3 separate regions of the Mus musculus genome follow, and regions 2 and 3 are each reported to be linked to region 1. Evidence: microRNA targets listed by miRTarBase, many of them from high-throughput screens and not tested one by one. Region 1 holds a microRNA gene; each other region holds the end of a gene's coding sequence. Distances are from middle to middle.

The links. Region 1 holds the annotated microRNA mmu-miR-30b-5p (UGUAAACAUCCUACACUCAGCU, at 3,247-3,268, opposite strand). A microRNA usually pairs through its seed, bases 2 to 8, with sites in the 3' UTR of a target mRNA and lowers its output. Matches are read on the target gene's strand: a 7mer-m8 pairs with bases 2 to 8, a 7mer-A1 pairs with bases 2 to 7 and ends in A, and an 8mer does both.
Region 2: miRTarBase lists Tomm70a as a target of mmu-miR-30b-5p. Seed matches in the 3' UTR shown: 7mer-A1 at 5,801-5,807.
Region 3: miRTarBase lists Mtdh as a target of mmu-miR-30b-5p. Seed matches in the 3' UTR shown: 8mer at 7,246-7,253, 8mer at 6,988-6,995, 7mer-A1 at 6,710-6,716 and 8mer at 5,725-5,732.

Annotation. Positions count from the first base shown.
Region 1 is chr15:68,334,223-68,342,097 of GRCm38, forward strand. Mir30b (microRNA 30b) reads right to left here and starts at 3,288; the gene lies at 3,193-3,288. Mir30d (microRNA 30d) reads right to left here and starts at 7,067; the gene lies at 6,986-7,067.
Region 2 is chr16:57,151,904-57,159,778 of GRCm38, reverse strand. It overlaps Tomm70a (translocase of outer mitochondrial membrane 70A), which reads right to left. Exons shown (of 12, transcript NM_138599.5): 12 at 5,249-7,196. The coding sequence ends at 7,043. It overlaps Nit2 (nitrilase family, member 2), which reads left to right. Exons shown (of 10, transcript NM_023175.1): 8 at 263-361; 9 at 2,240-2,295; 10 at 2,613-3,114. The coding sequence ends at 2,704. Among named protein-coding and RNA genes, the nearest start is that of Nit2, 11 kb to the left of the region's middle.
Region 3 is chr15:34,140,166-34,148,040 of GRCm38, reverse strand. Mtdh (metadherin) reads right to left here. Exons shown (of 12, transcript NM_026002.5): 12 at 4,504-7,349. The coding sequence ends at 7,279. Among named protein-coding and RNA genes, the nearest start is that of Gm38594, 22 kb to the left of the region's middle.

The DNA.
Region 1 (7,875 bases):
TTTTAATTTGGATACAAGTATCCTTGAATGCATGGCCTTTTAACATGAGGCCAAGCTGGTAGTCCACATCAAGAATATATATATATATATATATATATATATATATATATATATATATATATATATATACACACACACACACACACACACACATATGCATAAATATAAGTAAGTATATGATGTTAAGCCATAACTATATGATCATTAAGCAAGAGAATAAAGAAGAAAACAACAGGGTGAAGACTACACCATATAGTGTCATTTGGTAGTATAAACCACAGGTGTGCGATTTTTTCATCTCTGATATATGAAAGAAGTTCCATTAAAGTTAAAAGGTGAATTGAATGGTCAATTCCTACATACACTTAATTTGATACTTTATAAAGCTACTCAGAGGTTGCATCTCTTTGGGATCCTTTATAATTTGTTAAAGTACACATAAATTTTAAAACAATGTAAGCATCTGACAAAGTTCAAATAAACGAGACACTTGAGGTTTTTTCTTTATTAATTTGCTAAATACTGAATTTGCAAGGTTACTTTTACTTCTTTACAGTCCAGGTGCTACCCACCTCCAGGTCTACCCTGCCACAGTTCCTCATCCTACTCCTCTCCCAACTCCAAGAGGATGTCCCTCCCCTCAACTCCTCCACACCCCCACCCCACTCCCTATTAGGCTTCCCCACTTCTTGGAGCCTCAAGTCTCTCCAGGTTAGGCCAGTCTTCTCCCACTGAGGCCCGACTGCTTTATGGGTTGGGGGGGCCTCAGACCAGCTACTGTATGCTGCCTTATTGGTGGCTCAGTGTCTGAGAGATCTCAGGGGTCTGGGTTAATTGAGACTGCTGTCTTCCTATGGAGTCGCCCTCCTCAGCTTCTTCCAGCCTTTCCCTAATTCAATCACAGTCCATTGGTTGGGTAAGTATTTGCTTCTGTCTCAATCAGCTGCTTCTTGGGCCTCAGAGGACAGCCATGCTAGGCTCTTGTCTGTGAGCACACCATAGCATCAGTAATAGTGTCAGGTCTTGGAACCTCGCCTTGAGGTGGAGCCCAAGTTGGGCTGGTCACTGGACCACCTTTCACTCAGTCTCTTCTCCATTTTTGTCCCTGCAGTTCTTTTAGACAGGAAGAATTCTGGGTCAGAGTTTTTGACTGTGAGATGGCAACCCCATCCCTTCACTTGATGCCCTGTCTTTCTACTAGAGGTAGACTCTACAAGTTCCCTCTCCCCACTGTTGGACATTTCATCTAAGGTCCCTCCTTTTAAGTTCTGAGAGTATCTCACCTCCCAGGTCTCTGCTACTTTCTAGAGGGTTCCCCCCCCCACTCCCCCCCTCAAGGTTGCATATCTCCATTTATTCTGCTGGCCCTCAGGGCTTCTCTCCTGTTTCTACCACCCCTATATCTGATCATGTTCCCCCTTTCCCCTCCCCTCCCCAGATCCCTCCTCCCTCCCTTTGCTTCCCTTGATGGCTTTCTTCTCCCTCCCAAGTGAGTGTCCTCATGGGCCCTTCTGCTTGTTAACCTTCTCTATGGATTGTATTCTGGGTATTCTGTACTTTTTTTTGGCTAATATCCACTTATTAGTGAGTACATATCATGCATGTCCTTTGGGGTCTAGGTTCTCTCAGTCAGAGTATTTTCTAGTTCTATACATTTACCTGCAAAACTCATGATGTCCTTGCTAATAGCTAAATAATATTCAATTGTGTAAATGACCCACATTTTCTGTATCCATTCTTCAGTTGTGGTGCATCTGGGTTGTTTCCAGCTTCTAGCTATCACAGATAAGGTTGCTATGAACATAGTGGAGCAAGTGCCCATGTGGTATAGTGGGGCACCTTTTGGGTATAAGCCCAAGAGTGGTATAGCTGGGTATTCAGAAAGATCTATTTCCAATTTTCTGAGAAACCTCCAGATTGATATTCAAAATGGTTGTACCAGTTTGCAATTCCACCAGCAATGGAGGATTGTTCCTCTTTCTCCACATCCTTGCCAACATGAGCTGTCACCTGAGTTTTTGGTCTTAGCCATTATGATTAGTGTAAATAATCTCAGGGTCATTTGATTTGCATTTCCCTGATGACTAAGGACTTTGAACATTTTTAAAAGTACTTCTTGGCCATTCGAGATTTTTCTGTTGTGAATTCTCTGTTTAGCTCTCTCTATACCCCATTTTTTGATTCGGTTGTTTGGGTTTTTGCTTCTTGAGTTCTTTCTATATTTTGGATATTAGGCCTCTATGGGATGTGGTGTTAGTGAAGATTTTTTTCCTCAATCTATAGGTTGCCAATTTGATTAACTGACTACATCCTTTGCCTTACAGAAGCTGAGAAGTTTCATGACGTTCCATTTATTAATTCTTGATCTTAGAGTCTGAGCCATTGGAGTTCTATTTAGGAAATACCCACCCCCACCTCCCCAGCCCAGTGCCAATGAGCTTGAGGCTCTTTCCCACTTTCTTTTCTATTAGAGTCAGTGAATCTGGTTTTATGTTGAGGTCCTTGATCCACTTGGACTTGAGCTTTGTGCCAGGTGACAAATATGGATCTATTTTCATTTTTCTACATACTAACTGCCAGTTAGACCAGTACCATTTATTGAAGATGCTTTCTTTTTTCCACTGTATATTTTTTGGCTTCTTTTTCAAATATCAAGTGTCCATAAGTGTGTGGTTTTATTTCTGAGTCTTCAATTCTATTACATTGATCAACCTGTCTGCCTGGTACAAATATAAAAGTAGCAGTTAGACCAATCAGGTCTGTGAAAAGGGTAATGGATTAAAAAATCTTAAAATAGTAACAATAATGATAACTACCGTATGTCAAGAACATTCAACTGACATCGACTCACTTCATCAACAATCCTGTCAGGTACTATGACAATGCAATTCAGCTGACAAAGAAGTGGAGACCAGGAAAATTAATACTTTCCTTAATTATTATAGAACCTGAAGCTAGGCTTAAGGCTATTTAGCAACAAATTACAGTGATATGTAAGATTTACACTACTTCTGAATCAAAATATTGGTATCATCTATATTAAGATAAACAAGTATCTATTTTAAATAGTACAGCAAGTATTTACTGAAAACCTAAATATAAACAGTATTTATAATAAGTGCCCTTTAGCTGGGCATGGTGATATACTCCTGTAATGCCACTTAAGTCATGTATCAATATGTTAACTGGTGGATACTCCAAGACAGCTGACGTAAACATCCACATCCCAGCCAACGCATGTATGACAGCTGAGTGTAGGATGTTTACATGAACTGAAACTTGGCTTAGAGAGAGACTTGAGAACTCTTTACTATGTTTATACTTGGTTTTTTACTTGAGGCTCAGACAATTTTGCAGAATCTGTTGAAAAAAAAATTAGGCACAGTGATCTACATGAGGACAAAATCAACTTGAAAGATATCTTCAGAGTAAGTATAGAATCCACAGAAACAGCAAACATTTATCGTTCTCTCTTTCATGCTCTCTCTCTCTCTCTCTCTCTCTCTCTCTCTCTCTCTCACACACACACACACACACACACACACACGTATGGCAAGAACACAGGAATTCTATAGCTTTTCCCACCTAAAGGCAACTTACTGTTCTGACAGCATTCAACTTTCTCCACCCTTTCCCTCTCTCTAAACAACTGCACCTCCATTTATAGGAGCCCATTTGATGGGCAATACGGTGTACCAATCCCCTATTCTTCCTTAACACCCAGGTCCTTGCACCACAGGCATGGCTTTCCCATATCTCTACCATGGGCCATTATTTAAAACATGGTAGCAAGGGGTAGCACAAGGACATCTACCCCTTTCTGTGTTCCTGATTTAATTAAAAAAAAAAATCACCAAATTCCTTTACTAAACATTAAAAGTTACTCTTGGAATACTTTCATCAGGGAAGAAGTCCTTAAATTAGGAAATAAAATTACATATAACACTGTCAGCAAACTAAAACTTCCTGGCATTTCAAAGATACGCCATCACCTCAGGAATCTCCTGTTTTCCTGGAGCAGCATTCTCAAAACTAATCTATCCCCACCTCCAACTCCTTTCTCCCCTTTAAACATGTTGCTTTTTCCTGTTTTCACTACAATTACAGTTTGCTTGTCTGATTTCCTGCTGTTTTTTGTAGACACATTTAATTCTTTGGGGTGGGCCAGTCCTTTTTTGCAATCAAACTTTAGGGTTTGGCATGGTGACACACACCTATAATTTGAGTGCTCTGGATTTTAGTTCTAGAGCAACAATAGAAACTTAGGAAATAAAGCAGATTCCTAAGCTCTATCCCAGACTTACTAGGGATGGAACTCTTTTTGGGGTCCTGCAGTCTGTGTTTTAGTAAGCTCACTGTAATTGTGATGCACAGTAGTATTTGAAAGCTGTTTTTCCTAAGTACATTGGGAAGCTAAAGCACTGGCAGCAGTGACTGTCCAATAATCAGGGTGTGCATAATGTACTACTGACAAAAGTTGACAAGCTCAAAACCTGTACCTTACAGTTCACCCTCGCCAACCAGCCTAGGCAAACAATCTAAGACAGAATAAGTTTAAAAGGTGCATAAACTCAGGAAATAAAACTAAACCTGTTTTTCAAAAACTTAGCATGCACAATAAATATCAGAACAGTAATCCAATGAATGCAGTTGTAACAAAATCCAAGTTGGACCCTGCTAATGCAACAGTGAATATGTTCTGGGTTAGAGGTTTATGGTCCTTTCTCAACTACACCAAGACTATTGTTGTGCAGAGAGAGACTTGAGACCATGGAGACAATGAGGACTCAACCAAAATGTATCTTTTTTCTATGAATATTTCTGAAATAGATTTGTAGAATGTATTAACTCAGACTTTATATACTTATAGTTGTCTGCTTAAAAATTAACTCCTAAATCATACACTGAGGAATAATATCATTTGTACAATGGCTGAGAACTACCTCGACATTTAGTATTCGTTGGACCAAAATAAACAAACATACAATAGTAAATAAATTTCTGAGATTTTTAAAACTGTACCAAAATTTACACATTTTCTCCTGAAAACCTAAGTTAAAGGCCAAGAAAACAATCTGTTTTAAGTTTATTGGAAAAGAAAGACAACCCAATTTTCATGGCTCAACATTCAACTGTCAATGGTGCAGGCCAACATGAAGTTTGTGGTGTTTTTAAGTTAAAACATAAATAAGTCATCTGCAGATGACGAAAAGGCTGTACTTAAATACATAGAACCAAGAACATTGAGGACGCAAGCGGACATGGTCTCTGATTTTCTTTCATTAGGGCAGAATAATACACAACAAATGTTTCACACTAGACTAGCATTAACCCTGAAGCATCCAGGGATAACTAGACTAGGTAAGCAGAGGATGGTAGCTTTGTGCATAATGACTCCTCCTCTTTTAGCTTAGATTTGACTTACCATTTAAAAAAACACTTCAAATAATTTTTAAATAAGTAAACCATGTAGTTTTTATCCATGCCATTGAATTTTAACTTACACATCAAGGTTTTATGGAAAATAACCAATGCCACCTGGCCAAACAAAATAATTCTATTAACAGAAGACACATCACACTCTACCTTGGCACAGAGAACTTTATGGGCTCCTAGCAATATCTCTGTCCAAAAATGATCAACCAAGCTCTTCTCTTAAATTAGTCTTGCACACTACCTTTCTAACAAAGTAGTACTTAAATGGATCCATAATAAAAACTGGAAATGCAACTCAGCAGTAGGTCGCTTGCTTAGCATGTTCAAGAACACTAGGTTCAAACTCCAGCACCAATAAACAAGTAAATGGAAATATACTATTAGAATAAAATCATTATTAGAGTACTGTATATCAATATACACATTTTATACATATGGTATAAAACGCAGAATTATAAAGACATAATATCCATGTCTCCAGAAAGGCTACAATCTAATCCAGGAGAAGCATATAAGAAATCAGATTGGCAGGAACTGTATCTTCTGTTTTAAGTCTAAACTGAACCTAACTCAGCTTAATAGTAACGAAAATAATGTCTGCTGGGTATAGTGGTGTGTACCTTTAATGCCAGCATTAAGCGGGCAGAAAGCTGGTGGATCTCTAGAAAGCTGGTGGATCTCTAGGAGTTACAGGCCAACTAGAGCTACACAGTGAAACCCTCTCTCAAACAAACAAATAAACAAACAAACAAGCAAACAAACGTCTTAAGAAATAAAGCTAATAGTAACCCAAAGAAAAATGTAAGTGAGAAAACATTGTAAAAGTTAAAAAAAAAAAAAAAAACAACCAAAACCAAAAACCAAACCCAATCAATCAAAAACCTCAGTAAGTTATGAAATTACACTGGTTCACAATAATTTTTGTCTATGATAGAAAGCCTAGATTATTTAGTATTGTGGAGAGAAATAAAAATGGAAAACAATACAACTACTCCCAAGGCAGCTGGGAGCCAAGCAATAACCTAAAGCTATCAGGTAGCTTAGTTTAATCCACAAGGGCATACAGAACCATTAGCAGATGTTGTGAAGAGGTCTAGTGGTTTGGGATTTCCAGACTGAGAAGAACGCTCTGATTAAGATTAGTTTCATCACAGGAGGAGGAAGCAAACATTTACATACAAATTAAGTACAGGGAAACCTGAAATTCCTAGGTTGTAGACTGCTGGGTGGGTGGTAGACATGAATAACCTACAGAGTTTATAGGGAAGAAAGTTGGTTTTCAGGATTGTTAGGAAGTTAAACTCTAGCCTATTTGAAAAAGGTATAAAGGATAAACTTGTACTGACACGGCAAAAACAGTATTAAAACTTGTTTTAGACAGATCCTCTAAGGCCAGAAGAAGCATGTTTAGTCAGCTCCCAACATTAGAAGCTGCCAGCAGAAGCAAGCAGTAAATGAATGCTCCTCAAGATTTCTGATGCATCCCAGGCATTTCTCAGCATCCTCAGCTCCAATCCTTAGGCCAGATTGTCCAAAAGATGCATTCGAAGAGCCAGTAGCAGCAAACATCTGACTGAAAGCTTGGCTGTGGCTTACAGCTTCCAGTCGGGGATGTTTACAGACACAGACTTTCTGACAGCAAGCTACAAAGGAACAGAGCAAATGGTCAGTCATTGCTTCCGCTACCGACTTTCACAACTGCGGAGCTGAATGACAACTGTGACATCTTGGGGGGAAAAGACAAACAATAAAGTAAACAATACTAGTTAATAAGGGAAGATAGTAATGTCTCTTGAATTATCTAATTAGAAAAGATTCAATACAAACTTTTCTATGTTACTCCACATGGACACATTTTTCTACCAGATGTATATGTTTTCTTTCTTCTCCACAAATCCAGAATTTCAAAATTAATAATAAATAACAATCTAAAAAGTAGATTGACCATACATCTCAGTTTTCCCAGACAGTCCTAAGTGATAGTACTATTAGAATTGAAGTTTCTCATTAACCAAACTGTCTTAATTTAGACACAAGTTTTGCTGGCAGTAACTCTATGCTGAGAAAGATTCTAATATCTTCCTCCCTATCCTTAGCTGAACTAGGTTAGGAATGTGGGCCATGGAAATGAACTAAGTGGGTAAGAAGAGGAACAATACCCGCCTTGGCTTTGCTTACAAAACAACACCGAAACATTTTGCTTTTGTTTCTTCTATTAGTTTCCTGAAAGAGAAAAGAAAGATTAAGTGATAATAGTAAATTTGTACTTTATAGATTAACTTTAATCTGAGACATATAAATTAACTTAAAAAATTAAAGTCTATTGAAGCAATTAAGTTTACAAAAAGCCAGTGATTTCTAAGAAATACAGTCATACACAAGCATCTACACCACACAAGAATAAACATTCAACAAGCTAATGCAAATCTAAAACATTAC
Region 2 (7,875 bases), not on the chromosome of region 1:
TGGGTTCACATGTCTTTCCATGTGCTGTTTCATTTCCTTTGGACTTGTACCTTTTAGTGGGATTTCTGGACCACATGGCCTGTTTTAAACTGTTAGAGGCAACTCTACTGCTTTCCCCAAACTCTTGCTCATTCCAATGTACAGAGGCCTTTTCGTGTTTACTTCTAGTGTTTTCGTAGTTTGCCTTTTTTTTTTTTTTTAATTTTAAAGAACTGTATAAAGGTCTGCAACGTGCAATGTATTTGCTTTCTGTTGACTACAGGGCTGTTGATAATCAGGTGTATGTGGCTACAGCCTCTCCTGCTCGGGATGACAAAGCCTCGTATGTGGCCTGGGGACACAGCACTGTTGTGGATCCTTGGTGAGTATGTCTTAGGCTGAGCTCAGCTGGAAGTTGAAAGATGATACAGGGTCATTTTTCTACAATTCCTACCCTTTCATCCATACACCCGGACAAGCATAAGGGAAGCTTTTTACTTGCAACCCACATGATAAGAAAGCGGATCCTGCTTGCTCAAGTGTTGTCATCTTTGCTTGTCTAGGTAGTCCTGGTAGTCATACAAAATAAACAAGGCAGCAGCGTAGGCAAGCGGTTGCTTTTAGGAAGAGATCTCAGAATTCTTAGTTTGCATCTGGCTAAAATTTAGGCTGAGTGACTGGTTCAAGGGCAGGAATGAGAAGCAAGGCAAGAGTGTTACTCCGCGTGTAATGATTAGAGATGGGGGACTGGGTTAAAGCAGTGGTTCTCATGCTGTGCGTCACAACTCCTCCACACATCAGATATCCTGCATATCATATATTTACGTGATTCATAATCGTAGCAAAATTTCAGTTATGAGGTAGCAGCCATAAACCATAATTTTGTGGTGGTGGTGGTGGTGGGGTCACCACACCATGAGGGTCATACCATTAGCAAAGTTGAGAACCATAGGGTTAGAAGAAACTGACTGTCCCCCGTGAAACGGCAAAGAATTTTACCACTGAGAACACAGAACATCACACAGATGTTTCTCCATGGACATATCACACGGTTGGCAACTGTATGTGTAATTTGACATTCACATATAGAATCTCAGTCAGACACATGTCCTTACTAGAACTTTGGACTTCAAAAGTTGGCTTTGGTCCAGGCTACTTGTGTATACACACACAGTATTTCTACAATTTCAGAATAAATAAAGGGTCCTAGAAAGGAGTGTCCCCTGTGTGTATGATTCTCAGTAGTTGCACACACCAGGGTTTATGGGCATTGGAGAAGTGGGTTAGGCTGGATTCTGTCACATTCCTATCTAGATGTTGGTGAAAGGCTCCACAGCCAGTTCTCCTGGTGGCTACCTAGAGTGGCTGTTGCAGAGTAATTTTTGTGTGTTATATGCGCTTCCTTTTTTTTTTTCCCTGAAGGCTTTTGAGGCCTTTCAGCCTATGACTTTAGGGTGGTCGGTGTCTGGGTGGGAGTGACATTAGAGAAAGAACTTTGAATTTGCCAGGACAGATGGGTGGGAATTAGGATTCAATCAAATGAAATTAATGGTATTGGTATTTCATCCTTGCTGAGAGTCTGTGGCTGTCTGATAAGTACAGTCAGTTAATTGTGCCAGATGGTTTGTTTTGACATATTTGGAAATTAATCATTTCTCCAGATAGATATATTATTGAGGCCCTGCACTGGGCCAAAAGGCTGGTTACTGCAAAGTTTTCCAGAATAGCCTTCACCTGGTCGTTTGAAGGGCTGTTGCTCCTGTCAGCACACTCTTGTTATTCAGACACTGGGTAAAGTCTTGTCCTCCAATCCGAAACTCCAAAGCATAGGGAGCCAGGGATCTCAGCCACACAGGTAGAGGGTTCTTGTAAATCTGGACCCTGTATAGGCCCGGCCTCATTACCCTCAGATGTGGTTGCAGTTGGGAGCACATGAGGGACAGACGGAGACCTTCCTTAGGAGGGGCTTTTTCCTGTTGACTCTTGGCAGCTCTGTTCCCAGATACTTATAATCATGAATGAGCTATGGCTTTCCAGGAGTGTGCAGTTTATTAAACATATCCCACTTTCCTTACCAAGCCTCACAGGACTCCTATTTCCACATGATGTGCCACACGTTCTTAACATAAATAACAGAACCAGAATTTATACTACTTTTTTATTTTAGATCTTAGAATCTTTTTTTGGCCTGGTACACAAGGAGGAAATATAGAGAACTTGAGGTTGGCGAATCCCCATTCATTCTCTGGATTTTCTTCAGGGGGCAGGTCCTAACCAAAGCTGGCACGGAGGAAACAATCCTGTACTCAGACATAGGTAAGCTTTGCCCTGCTGTGGTTATGGTTTCTGGGGCTCCCACTGCTCTCAGGCCAGTCTGTGGCTGACTTGGAAGGGTTCCGTTGTGCGCTGCTCTTCTATCCTGGTGATATCCTGGTGTTGAGGGTGAGCTCTGGGGCTTTGTCTCACTAGGTTTTGTTTAGTTTGAACTGACCCAGGACCAACTCCAGGTCACCAGCATCCAGACAAGGCAAATGTTCCTAGGTCACTTGCTGAGACTTTGGTCTGGGGACAAAATTTAATTGCTTGGTTAAGTAGTTGCAAATTATTAATCATGTGTGTTCCTGTTTTTGCAGACCTGAAGAAGCTGGCTGAAATTCGGCAGCAAATCCCCATTTTAAAACAGAAACGAGCAGACCTCTATACAGTGGAATCAAAGAAGCCTTGATATCTGTTTCAAAAATGTCACCAACAGGATGATGCTCTGTCAGATGATCAACTCTACTACATCTCTTTTTTTTGGAGGGAGGGGGGAACAGGGCCATTTCATGTTAATTCTATCAATGATCTGTGCCACAAGGTCCCCTATTTTAATTAAAAGTTTCATCTTTAATTAAAATGTGCTTGGTAACAATGTTCTAGCTCTTAACTAGTCTGATGGTTCCTAGGCATTTCAGTCCCAAGATCCTTTTGAACAATTAAAAACTGAAGCCTCTAAGCATTGTTTCCATGTGTGGTGGGCTGGTCCCATCTGTCTGAGAAAATGTACATTTACCAGAACACTAATTTTCATGGTGCTAATATCCCATCAACATGACACTTTTAAAACTTTTTATTAAAAATTGTTTTCATACAATATATTTTGATGTTTTTCTTCTTTCCCAATTCATCTCCACTCATCCAGATTTATGTTCTTTTTCTTTCTAAAACAAACAAAAACTCCATAAAATGAAAATCAAAATTAACAAGCAAAAGACCAATAAAGACAAAAGAAAACAAAAAGTCCACAAAAAAACCAATAGAGCTGAATGTGCCACTTGTAAACAGGAATAGATGTGCAGCTGGGACCCGTGACCTACACAATACTGGTTTAGCACATGGCTGGTTCAATACCATGCTGGTAAATCAAAACTTTTCCAATATATAAAAGCATATAGGCTATTATTATGGTTACTTACAGAAGAGTAAGAAAAGCCAGTGATTAAATAAAAATGAAGTATATGATTTAGTAAGATTTAGCACACACACATTCATCTATGAAATACCAGTCAAGAAAGTGAATATCTGTACTGCCACCAGGAGTTTCTTTATAAGCATTTGGACTATTTTTGTCTGTGTATGTGTCATGGGTATGTGCAGGTGCTGAGGTCAGAAGGAATTCCCCAGGGCTGCAGTCAGAGGTATTCCTAAGCTGTCCAATGTGGGTGACAGGAACTGAACTTAGGTTCTCTCCCAGAGCAGTAAGCACTCTTGAACACTGGGCCATCTCTTCAGCCCCTCCCTAGAGTCTTCTAAGAACTCTAGTTATTCAACTACTGATAAGCTTTATCAACAGAGAGCTTTGAGTTTTCTAGAGTTATGTAAAAAGTGAATTATAACCTAGTACTTTTATCTTACCTGTGTATCAGTGATGTATTACTTGTTGATGGAAATTTGAGTTCTTTCTGCCTTTTGAATGAAGGAGTCAGAAACAATCTTTTCATGTCTGGAGCAGTAGAGTTGTGGGCTCATATATCTACTTCACTATCAAATCGCTTCCAAAGTGATCATACCATTTGACAGTGCTGCCAACAACTGTATGAGTTCTAGTCGTTGTGCTGGGATTATAGGCACAATGCCATAAGCAGGTTCTTCTCAGTAGATTTAGTATTTCTTGGGCTGGTAAAATGGCTCAGGATAAAAGCAGGCCTCTTTTGCTCTGTAGGCCTGACAACCCGAGTTCAATCTTTAAAGCCTATGATGGAAGGGACCGATTCTATAAAGTTGCCCTCCACATGTACACTTCACACAATAAAACATTAAAAACTGATCAGTCACTCATACTAATCTTTTCACATGTATCTTTGGTAAAATATCAGTTGATAACTTTTGCCTATATTTTTATGGCTTTATCCTCAAATGATAAGTTGTTTATATATTTTGATGTACATTTTTTGTCACAGTCTCCTGCTCTAAAGGGGGAAAATGACATTTACCAGAGCTCACACTGGGGATTAAGCCCAGATCTCAATGCTAAACATTCTCCTTACCACAGCTGCAACTTCATTTATTCTCTTAGAATTTCATCATTTTCTATCTTGCTAAGTGACTCTACCATCTCTGTCACCTAAGTACTGAGATTATAGGCTTGTTCCATCATGCCAACTAATTTTTATTTTTTAAAAAAGTATTATTTGAAGAACAAACTGTATTTTCACAAAGGTCAACTTATTATTTTTATTCCTTTAAAATGATTGTTTATGTTTAGTTATTTTGCCCGTGTGTGTGTGTGTGCCCGTGTGTGTGCCCGTGTGTGTGCCCGTGTGTGTTGCCTGAGGAGGCAGAAGGTGTCTGATCACCTGGAACTGGACCTACGGGGAGTTAAAGGCAGCTTGTGAGCTGCCACATGAAGTCCTGGGAACCAAACCTCTCCAGCTCTCCCTTATTTCCTTTTGAAGTTGTCCTCTTTTGTGTCCTCTGATGTTTATGGCTTTAGCTTACTTAAGTTCTCAAGTTCTCTCCATGGTTGAGACTATGATTAAACTACCGTGTGGAGTCAGCACGGAGAACGTAGCTCCATCATAACATATGACAGATGGCTTTCTAGGCTGAGTCTAAGACACAGATAAAGAATGAATCCTCGCAGGAAATTTCATGACCACACCAATAAAACCTTGTATATATCTATCTTCAAAGTTAGTTTGAATCAACAAGAAACTGACTGAAGAGGGTTTCAGTTAAAAAAACAAACAAATTTCCTATCTTTCTGTTTCAAAAATGGATAGAAAAGCTTGAATGTAGTATTTATTTTGTGAATTTACATGTGAAGCCATTTACAAAAGTAAAGATACAGACAGATGCAGCTTTCAGTGCAGTTTCAAACATGTTCACAACAAGCAAAACATTTGAGTATCTGGAATGACAGTATTGAACGGCACATGCTTCAGTGTTTCCTACCCTACCCCAAGAAAGAAGGGAGAAGAGTAGAAGATGTCCCTATTAATGTAAATACAGCCATGCAAATAAAAAACTTTTAAGCGAAGAGGTCACATTCAGAGATGTAGGACATTTCTGTATTTAAGGTTATCATCATTGGAGAATTATTTCACAACAAAATGAAGATCTCTCCAACTTTCCATTATCCCAGTCACCTTAAATTACATTAATTGTTCCTAATGATATCAGCCATAGGCTAACCAGCATCGTCCAAAAACTGACTTTATAAGAGGAGTCATTTCTAATATTTTCTAAAAAGACAGCATCTGTAGACAAAATCATTTTGGTTTCAGTGGGATAAAGCACCCTTTTAAAATAAGAGTGTAAAATGCTCCTTTACTCTCAACAATGTAAACTATAATTATAAGCAGGCTTGCTTTTTTAAAAAATCATTTTACTTAAATAAACCTCAACCTGTCCTGGATCTTGGAAACAGACTCAGTAAGAACACATCCCTCCCCAACCAGAAAACTCCAGCAGATAAGTAAGTAAAAGGATAGGCTGTGAAAGTGAGGAAGAGAAACAGCTTAGAGAGTCAAAAGAGGATGAGGTACAGATCAAAATGAACAGAACCAACTGTCAGCATCCCTGGAGATGTGGATGTGGGCCATCCGTCCTTAGAGGTGAAGGTCACCTCAATACAGAAGTACTCTATGTATTGGACAGCTCTGGAAATACTGGCTCAAATCCCTAAGTTAGCAGCCACAGCTACACCACTGAGGTTTCCATTTCAAACAAGTATGTCCTGGCTTCAGGACTGACATCCTTTAGAACCTTTACCAAATTTCTGTCACTAGAAAATTGAAGCTAATTAAATACTCCTATATATCATCACATGTACTCCACCTGTACGTGGGTTGCTCACATACACCCACTTTCATTTAAAAGCATACTATTAAATAGTACTTACTATGGAATAGGCACGGCCAAGTATATACATGTCTTGTTCATCTTACCTGCCTTGTTCAGTCCCTCATTAAGTCTTCCTGTACAAGTATCAATGAGAATATTTTGCTTCTGCATAATTTACTAAAGTTCTACAGAATCAGAGGCACTGTGCATGCTGACAATAGCTTAAAGTCTTTCAATTTTACTGAAATCCACATTGAAGCTTTTCATCCTTCAAAAAAAATTAAAAAGGATTAATTGAATACAAAAGAAGTATATTTTACAGCACTTACTATGTTAAAAACTAACATACTATAAAATACTCACATATTATACAAACAGCTATAAAAAAACAAAATCATTCAGAACATAATCCCCACCCCAATATTAAAAAAAAAAAACAAATCAACAAATCAAAGTTTTTATTTGCATGGCCAATTACTGTTTGTATTCTACAACTTTGTTTTAATATCCCTTTAACAGGTTCTAAGCTTTTGTTGCACAGGGAATAAAAGCTGCAAGACTGCAAACTTCCTTCAACAGCCACGCCCACTACACCTAAACATGAAACAGATGTAATGAATGACAACATCACAAAGGGACTACTAAGTTCCACCGTTCAACAATTTATGACAGTGTCTTCAGGGTTGAGTTGAAGAGGGGGTAAACTTCTTTGAAAAGAGTCAGTCTGTTTCCCCTGTGTTTATAATGTCGGCGGTTTTAATCCGTATTTCTTTGCTACTTCTGTCTGGGCATGGGCAGCATCACAAAGTGAATACAGATGAGCCATCTCCATTTCCGACTTGGCCAAGTTGATAGCTTTGTTGAACATGTCAATGGCTTTCTCCATGTTTCCTCTAAAAGAGCAAAAATTCAAAGATTCTTCAACAAGCAGTTCTTAATAACCAATAAAGTTTAACTGTGCTGCATGAAGCCTTCGATTGTAATTCTAATAAAACGTTTCTTTCATAATAAAAAGGCCTAGCACAGCATACTGAAAACACTAATGAATCCACCTTACACCCCAATATATTCATCTCCTCCTCTCCTCCCAGTCCCTCCTCCAACAGCTCTTCCCCTACTCCCTCTCCCCTTCTCCTCTGAGAAGGGGAAGCCCCTGTGAATATCCGTCCACCCTGGCACGTCACGTCTGCAGGGGTAGGCACATCCTCTCTCACTGAGGCCATCATGGCAGCATATTCTGCCTACATTATCTTGAATCCTTTGTTAAATATGGGAAGACTAGGGTAACTAAGTTGGTTACTTAAAAACCCTAATTTTCCTGGTTCCTAAGCCTGTATGTTTCTGGTCAAATATGAGGCTTCTGGCAATACAGAGCATTAGTAGCCCTCAAACGCTTGCCCCTTAAAGGACTGACTCCATACTCTTACTACCTTATCTCTCACCCCAAATGCCATGCAGTCAAAGGTCAATCCCAGTTCCCTGACCATGTCAACCCTGATCACAAAGAGCCTCAGGTTATTGTCTCTGTTTAACTCTGTTCAAATCCCTACCTTTGAGGGCCCACTTCAAATA
Region 3 (7,875 bases), 34 Mb from region 1:
TTTGACATGGATTTTGGAGATTTAGACTGAGGTCTGTGTAGAAGCACTTTGCCCACTGAACCACCTTCCCACTTTTTTTTTAAAATTAACATAATGCATTTCTCACCCCTTCAAATGCAATATATAAGCGATGGTTTGAACACTGTCCTACCTCCATCTCCCAGTGCTGGGATTACAGGCATGTGCCTGTATCATGTTAGTATTATATAGGGGGAGGGAGGGAGGTAGAGATGATGCTCATCAGTCAAAAATGTCTGCTGCTTTCAGAAACAACCACATAGGGTGGCTCACAGCTGCCTATTACTCCAGCTATAGGAGATCTGGTTTCCTCTTCTGGCCTCTGAGTGTACCTATACACATGTGGCATATATACATGCACATAAATAAAAAATATGAAGTGTTATATTCTGAGGGGGTATCATGTTTGGTTGCCAGAGAGAGAAAATAAGAAAGCAGTACACAAATGTGTGTACTGGATGATGTCAGAAATTAGAACAAGAGAAAAGCAAAGACCCATTTAAGAGAAAAATATACAAAGAAACAACCTTGGATAGCAAACCACTGGAATGCAGGCAAGGAACGACTTCCAATGCTTGCCTATGCATGTCTACCTGGTGATGTGCCACCTGCAGGTTCCTGTTTGAAAAACAGCACTCAGGGCCTGACTTGAAGGAGAAACTGCTCATGGCCAAAGTGATCCCTCGTGGTGTTTCCAGATTTATTTCTAATGTTAAAGATTTTGTGTGTATGCGAACACACAGGCACACACAGGAGCTGGAATTGCAGGTGGTTGTGAGAGGCTTATCCTGGGTGCTGGGAACTTAACTCAGGTCTTCTGCAGAGCAGCATGCATTCTAAACCACTGAGTCATGTCTCTAGATTTCCTATATACGCCTCTTAAGCCTAACCTGTTGTTCCAAACAGATATCCAGGGCTTAATAGCAAAGACAAACCTGTCACAGACACTCCTCCAGTTCTTCCTCTTAATCAGTTACCTGTAACTATCTACTTGGAGACTTAAGAGATTTTGTTAGATGTGGGGATGGAGAGGGAGAGGGGAGCAGTAGCCTGGGCTACATGAGATATTGCTTCAAAATATCTTGCTTGGGAAGTCCTGAAGGAAGCCAATGGATCAGCTGGAGCTGGAGTCCTTGCAAATTGTGGGTCTCCCTGCCTGGGAACCAAATTCCAGTCCTCTGGAAGAGCTATAAGGGACCTTAACTGCTGAATGTTTGAACTTAGAATTTGGACTGATACATGGATTTGTCTCCCTTGCAGCAAGTCAGTGAGCTTGGTCCCATTTTATAGCTCTATATATAGTTATATATATTTAAAACTAGGCTTACAAATACAGTGAGTTATTTATGTGTTCAGGGAGTTCCCGGTTTATTGGTGTGTGTGAAATTCCTGTGAAGTCAACTCCCTACCATTCCTGTGGTGGTGGCAAAGAGAACTGAGGGCCTTGTGATTACCAGGCCAGCATCTTACCACTGAGCTAAATTCCAACTTCACACTGATTCCAGGACTGACCAGTAAGCATTGTATTAGAAAAGTCTGTCCCAGAGAAAGTCCGTATTCTCTCTTTACCTCTCCGAAAAGCAAGCCACCTGCCATTGTTTGCATTGGTTTATTTTTGGTTGTGTCACATCTTAATTTTTCTGTAGCTAAGTTGTTCCTGTCAAAAGTTAAATTAGATTTAGGGTTGTAGTTAGAATATATTTGCCTATATCCATGATATAGAAACCTACAAATTTTTTCTTTCATTTTTGTTTTCAGGCAGGACCTTACAGAGCCCATGTTGGCCTCAAAACCTCTCTATAGCTAAAGATGACCACAAACTCCCTTTGATATTTGTCAGATCTTCAATAATACACCTCATAGAACCTCACTTTAAGTGAGGCACTTGCTGCTCCCCTAGAAGAGCTTTATGCTTGGCTCTATCACATACAGTTGTGCTCTAACCTCCAGGCAACATCATTCAGATTTAGCCATTTTATCTATGCACATTCAGAAACTTTTCCAGGAGCTATCAGTTCAGTATCTTAAAAGTGTCTATGGACCCTTAGTCATTTCTTCCAAGGTAGGCATTTGAGAGTACTGAATAGTCAAGCTCACCTCTGATGTTCCCATGCTGTCACTATTTCACTTAAGAACACTGGTGGGTTTAGATGTAGATTTATTATGCTTTAAAGTTTCTCGAAGTGTTGCATATATTAAATTTGAATACTTTGGTACATATGAAAAGGAAACCACACAAACATAAAATGGCTGGACCAGCAAGATGATTCTGTGGTAAAGTGCTTGCTCCCAAGCCTGAAAGAAGAATCTCCAGAAAGTTGTCCTCTAACCTCCACATGAGTGCCACAGTACATGTGTACCCAAACACATAATGTAATAAAACACAAGCCAGGCAGTGGTGGTGTATGCCTTTAATTCCAGGACTTAGAAGGCAGAGGCAGGTGGTTTTCTGTAAGTTTGAGGACAGCCTGGTCTACAGAGCAAGTTTCAAGGTCAGTCAAAACTACACATAAAAACTGTCTCGAAAATCCAACACCAAACCAAACCAAACCAAACCAAACCAAACCAAACCAAACCAAACCAAACCAAACCACAACACCAGACAGAAAATAAACAAAACCAATCCTCCCTCCAATAACAACAAAACCAATCCCACAATGGGAAATCACATGCATGCCTTGATGCTAGAGTTAGAAATCACTGTCTTGTTTAAAAATGTCTTACATTAAAATTTAGTCAACACTTGCAGCGTGTGGTAAATAATCAATTATTTAGTGTGGTGGCATGAACATGTGCAAGCCAGAGTAGGACACTGGGACTCTTCCTGAGCTTGCAGCAAGGCTGCCACCAGCAAGGCCCCTGTTCTTACTGTGTCCGTCTCCTTCTCACACTACAGTGCTGGGAGTCAGTCATGCTTGTGCAATGAGCAATCTTACCTGAAGCCAACTCCCCAGCTCTCAAGCTGTTACAGAGCAGCAAAAATTCTTTCTGGACTCTACTACACAGAAAATTGGGCCAACCGTGTGGGTCACACCATTAATGGTAGTGGTGCATGCCTTTAACCCCAGCACTTAGAAGGCAGACAGAGGCAGATGGCAAGCCTGGTGTCCTGAGTGAGATTTAAGACAGCAGGAGATACATAGTGAGATTCAAGGGGGGAAAAAAAAAGAAATTGAGAGCATCCAAGAGCCTTCAATTTCTGCACAGCTGGAAAAGCTAAATCGACCTCATCAGTGCTTTGGTGCAGCAGAGAGACTGTGTTAGAGACTAGCAGCATCTGATACCAAGTCTCTTCCTCAGTAACAGAAGCATAAAATATGAATCTGGTCAACAGGCACCTTGAGTAAGAGCTACTCCTGGCCACTACCACCCCATTCTTTATGGCTGATGGGACCAAGCACCTTTTGCAAATTAAGTCTCCAGAGTGATGTCTATGAACATTCTCTGGGAAATGCTTTTTCCAAGTGGCTCAGGTGCTGACAAGAATTGTGAAGTGAAAACCATCTGTTTCCAACCAGGAATCAACATAGAAGAATCCTCGCTGCTGTACTGTGTACTAGGCCTGGGTTACATCCCCGACCAGTTATGAGTATGTATTTGTTTGTGCAGGTGTGCATGTGTGTAAACCAGGGATTAACACAGCTGTCCTCTTAGATAACTCTTCATACCTTTATAAAGGCAGGGTCTCTCTGACCTTGTAACTCAACAATTTGATTAGACTGGCTGCCGGCAAGCCTCCCTATTACAGAGATTACATGTTCACACTAATACATCCAGGTTTTCTAAATGTGGGATTTAGTTATCTACCACACTTTAAGGATTGAGCCATCTCCCCCAGATTTATTTTTTAATACTTACAGAAAGTATTTATTTACTTTACAACCTAATACCAGCCCCTCTTCTCCCAGTACCAACTCCTTGCAAGCCCCTGTTGCCCCTAAATGTCCCCCCACTCACATGTTAAGTCGCTGCATCTACCCAGATTTTTATATACAATAGAAGCAAACTATCATAAGTCACTACACTACTGTTTGGCAATGCAGTTAATCTACCACATACCAACTAATGCACGTCAAATTCTAGTTTAATTCCTTTAACCTAAAAAAAAAAAAAGTCATACTTACTAAGATGACTTATGGCTGATTCCCATGGAGGACACTATCATAAGTGCTCATTCTCTTTCTCTTGACCACCCTTCACGCCCCAGACAGGGTCTCACTATGTCCCGGAACTCACAGTGTAGAGACTTTCAGAGATCTGCCTGTCTCTGCCTACTGAGTGCTGGAATTAAAGGAATGTATAACTCTGCCCAGCTGCACATGCTCATTCTCAGAGGTTTGTAACTTTGAATATTTGGTTTGTTGGTGGCAAAGCCTGAAATGATGATTTTAATGAAAGGAAAAGTAAAATCCATGAACCAAAGGCGTGATATCTTATTAGACCACAACAAAAGGACAAAGTCCCTTCCCACAGAGAATGTAACAATTTAAACAAAACAAAAATGGTCTGTTTTATTTACAACACTCAGTGCATCTTACACATGACATATTTTCATTCCCCAAGTCTTTTGAAAGCAATTCCAATTCTAGTTTGTGCAAAGAATTTACAGAAAAACTTTAAAATAGCCATTAGACCTTAAACTTAAATCCTAAATTTTGATATTTCACACTATATTAATAGAGGACTACTTTTAATTAAGAAAAACCAAACGCTGCAATTAATTACTACACTCTGGGATCTTTAACTCAAATACAAACTGGATTAGCCTATGAAATAATACCATTAGATTTGGATAAATTATTCCAACCTCCCATCCCCAATAAAATGCATGCACAAATGAAACATGGTAATTACATCAATGATATTTCAACTTTTATTTTTGGACTCTCTCAACTGTTTGTTTCTCAATTTAGGGTATAGGTATAATGCAGTTGGAGAACTCTGACATGGCCACGCCCTGCTCCACAACAGAAAGGCTTTTCAGAGAGCCTATTTCAGGGAAACAGGTGGCATCAGAGTTTTCTGAGTTGATGACAGAAGCCAGTTCCTCTGTTCAGTGACAAAAAAAAAAAAAAAAAAATCACTGCCCTGCCACACAAAGATCTATAGAGAGGTAAAGAGCAACGATTTTAAGAGAACTGGATTTTGACTCATATACCTGCCTCCTTCTACCGGCGTGGGGGTTGGGGGGGAGGGGGGCCTGGCTCACAAGCCAGCGAGAAGGAAGGCACAGAGGCGACTTCCACACTGACCTACCCAGTGTATCGCTGTGCTTCCACTCCCATAATACACATCTCTTCAAAAAGGTGATATTCTTACTGCTAAGTGTAGTTACCACCTCCTACAAGTGATTGAATCGGGAGATACTGAACCGAAAAATAAAGTTTCTGATTTGACCTAGCCCAGAGAATTATAAGGAAAAGGAACAGTGAGGTAGAGTTGAGAGAGTTCAATTAAACTTGTGAGCACTGACCTTGGCACACTCTGTAATTACAAACCCCTCATTAATCTCTCCTTGAGACATATCTTGGCATCCCCTGAGGGAACACGAAGCTCAAAGCAGCCATCTGAAGGCTCCATTTGTGGCACATCAGCTCTTATTCACCTCAATAGTGAAGCAAATAAAAACAATGCTACCCAGTTCTGAATTTATTTAAACAAGTAAATTAATTTAGAAATTCCATTCAAAGAAAACTTCTGACGACATGTAAACATACTGCCATGTTCTTGAAACAGATGTTAACACCCAATAAAAAAGTTGTTAATCACTTCTGAGGAAAGCTGTCCATTAATAAGGCCAGTCTTCAACAGAACAAAAACCATTTTAGCTTTCCTAGTTGACAATACTATTAAACTACAGTTTAAGGACAGTATTTAATGGATAGATCAGTACCATTGGTTATAGCTTTTAAACAGGTTCATTTCTGGCGCCACATGAAAACAAGCCACTCACATCAATAAATCATGGCTTTTTTTAAAAAAATCACAATTTACTAAAGTGATGTTAATTATGGTCCTTGTCAAACACGTTTGGTAAAGGCTATTTACAGTGTACATGGCCGAGCATGCACTATTAACAGTTACAGAGAGGCCTGCCACTTTCCTAGGGATCACACAGTGCCTGAAAATGGTGACAGATCATACGTCATTCAAATCAACACAGTTTCAAGCAGAAAATGTTCCTTTCTGTTTTTAACCACAATTGCAATAGTTACATGAAAATTCTTATAAAAACACGAATCCCCTTCAAGAAACTGATGCATATTCTACTCACTACAGGAGGTTAAGGCAGTAAAAAAATGTATTCCTGATAACCGGAGGTCTCCACAATATCAATTAAAGCTGTCTGACTACTTTTGCATTCTCCGTCATATGCTCAAAAGTTGCGAATTACTTCATTTTTAAGGTAAAAAAATTACTAGCAACTAAGAGTTGACACTGGAAAATTGCTAGGGAAAGGAAAAACACTAAGTTGGATTTGCCTGAAAACTTTTCAAATCATAAACAAGAGCATTGTTAGTCTCAGTCTTAATGTATCAAACAAATAATATATTTACCTTTCTTAATTTAAAATATACTGTTATTTTGAATAATTCAAGTAATGTTAAGACTATCAAAAATAACTTTGTAAGTCATACAAGTGTCTGTCAATTGCATTTTTTAATGTTTTAATTTAGAACTTTTAAAGAACTGTAAACTAAACCAAGACAGTTTAGTTAAATAAATGATAAATGACCTTTTAATTTGCACTTGTGATTCTTTTAATACAAACTGCTACAACAAATATGTAAAGATATGGCAGATTATACATTTGATCAAAGCACTTTGATTTAAGCATAAAACAGATTCAAATGGTCTAAGGTCGTGCATAAGATCCAAGGACTTGCCTACTGGCCTCACGGCAGCCTTCTCTCTAATCAGAATCCATTCATTATTCCTCAGCTGCAGAGGAGACAGGGCACAGTCTGTTGTAAACAGGTAACTGTTGTAAAACCAGGATAATAGTCTTAAATTACGATCATTCTCGTTCAATTGAAAAGACTCTCCCAAGTGTCTTCCAGCACTGTGTATTCTGTTGACCTCTTTATTTCATAAATTAACTTTCCTTTGATTCCATTTTATGGTGGTTGTGTTCAGTTTTGTTTTAAAAATTGGTTTAAATTTATATAAAACTCTGTACATGTTCACAAATTATTGCATAAACAGCATAATCTTCAAGACAGTGTTTGTAAACACATGTCCAATTCAGGAAAAAAAAATTCACGTTTCCCGTCTGGCCTTTTTCTTCTTTTTTATTTGTTTTGGAGATTCCCAGTTAGTTTCAGACTTGGCTAAATGGGAAAAAAAGGGAAGGAGAAGGTGAGGAGAGAAAAAAAATGTAAGGAGGATAACCAGTATATATCAACAATATAAAAGTAACAACTATGGTGCCAGGTAGTGGTGGTGCATGCCTTTAGTCCCCACACTCGGGAGGCAGGTAGATTAGTTCAAGGCCAGCTTGGTCCATCCACCAAGTTCCAGGACAGATAAGGCTACAAACAGAGACCCTGTCTCAAAACAACAACAAAAAAAATGAAACATAAAACAAAACACCCGCCCCCAAAACCCAAAAAGTAACACTGATGAAAAAACTCTACTAATGTTAACATTTTATTGTTTAATAAGTCTTCCAGTCTTGGATATTTTCAAGTTAGCTATTCTCTGCCTCCCTTCTTTTACAGCCCAGGGTATTAATTGTAACTGCTGACACTGAACTGATGGCAACCTACAGAATCTGCTTTTTCTTTTTCTTTTCTTCCCTCCTGCCTCTTTTTGAGAGGGGACAGCCTTATGTTGCTTAAGCTGGCTCCTTGGGAT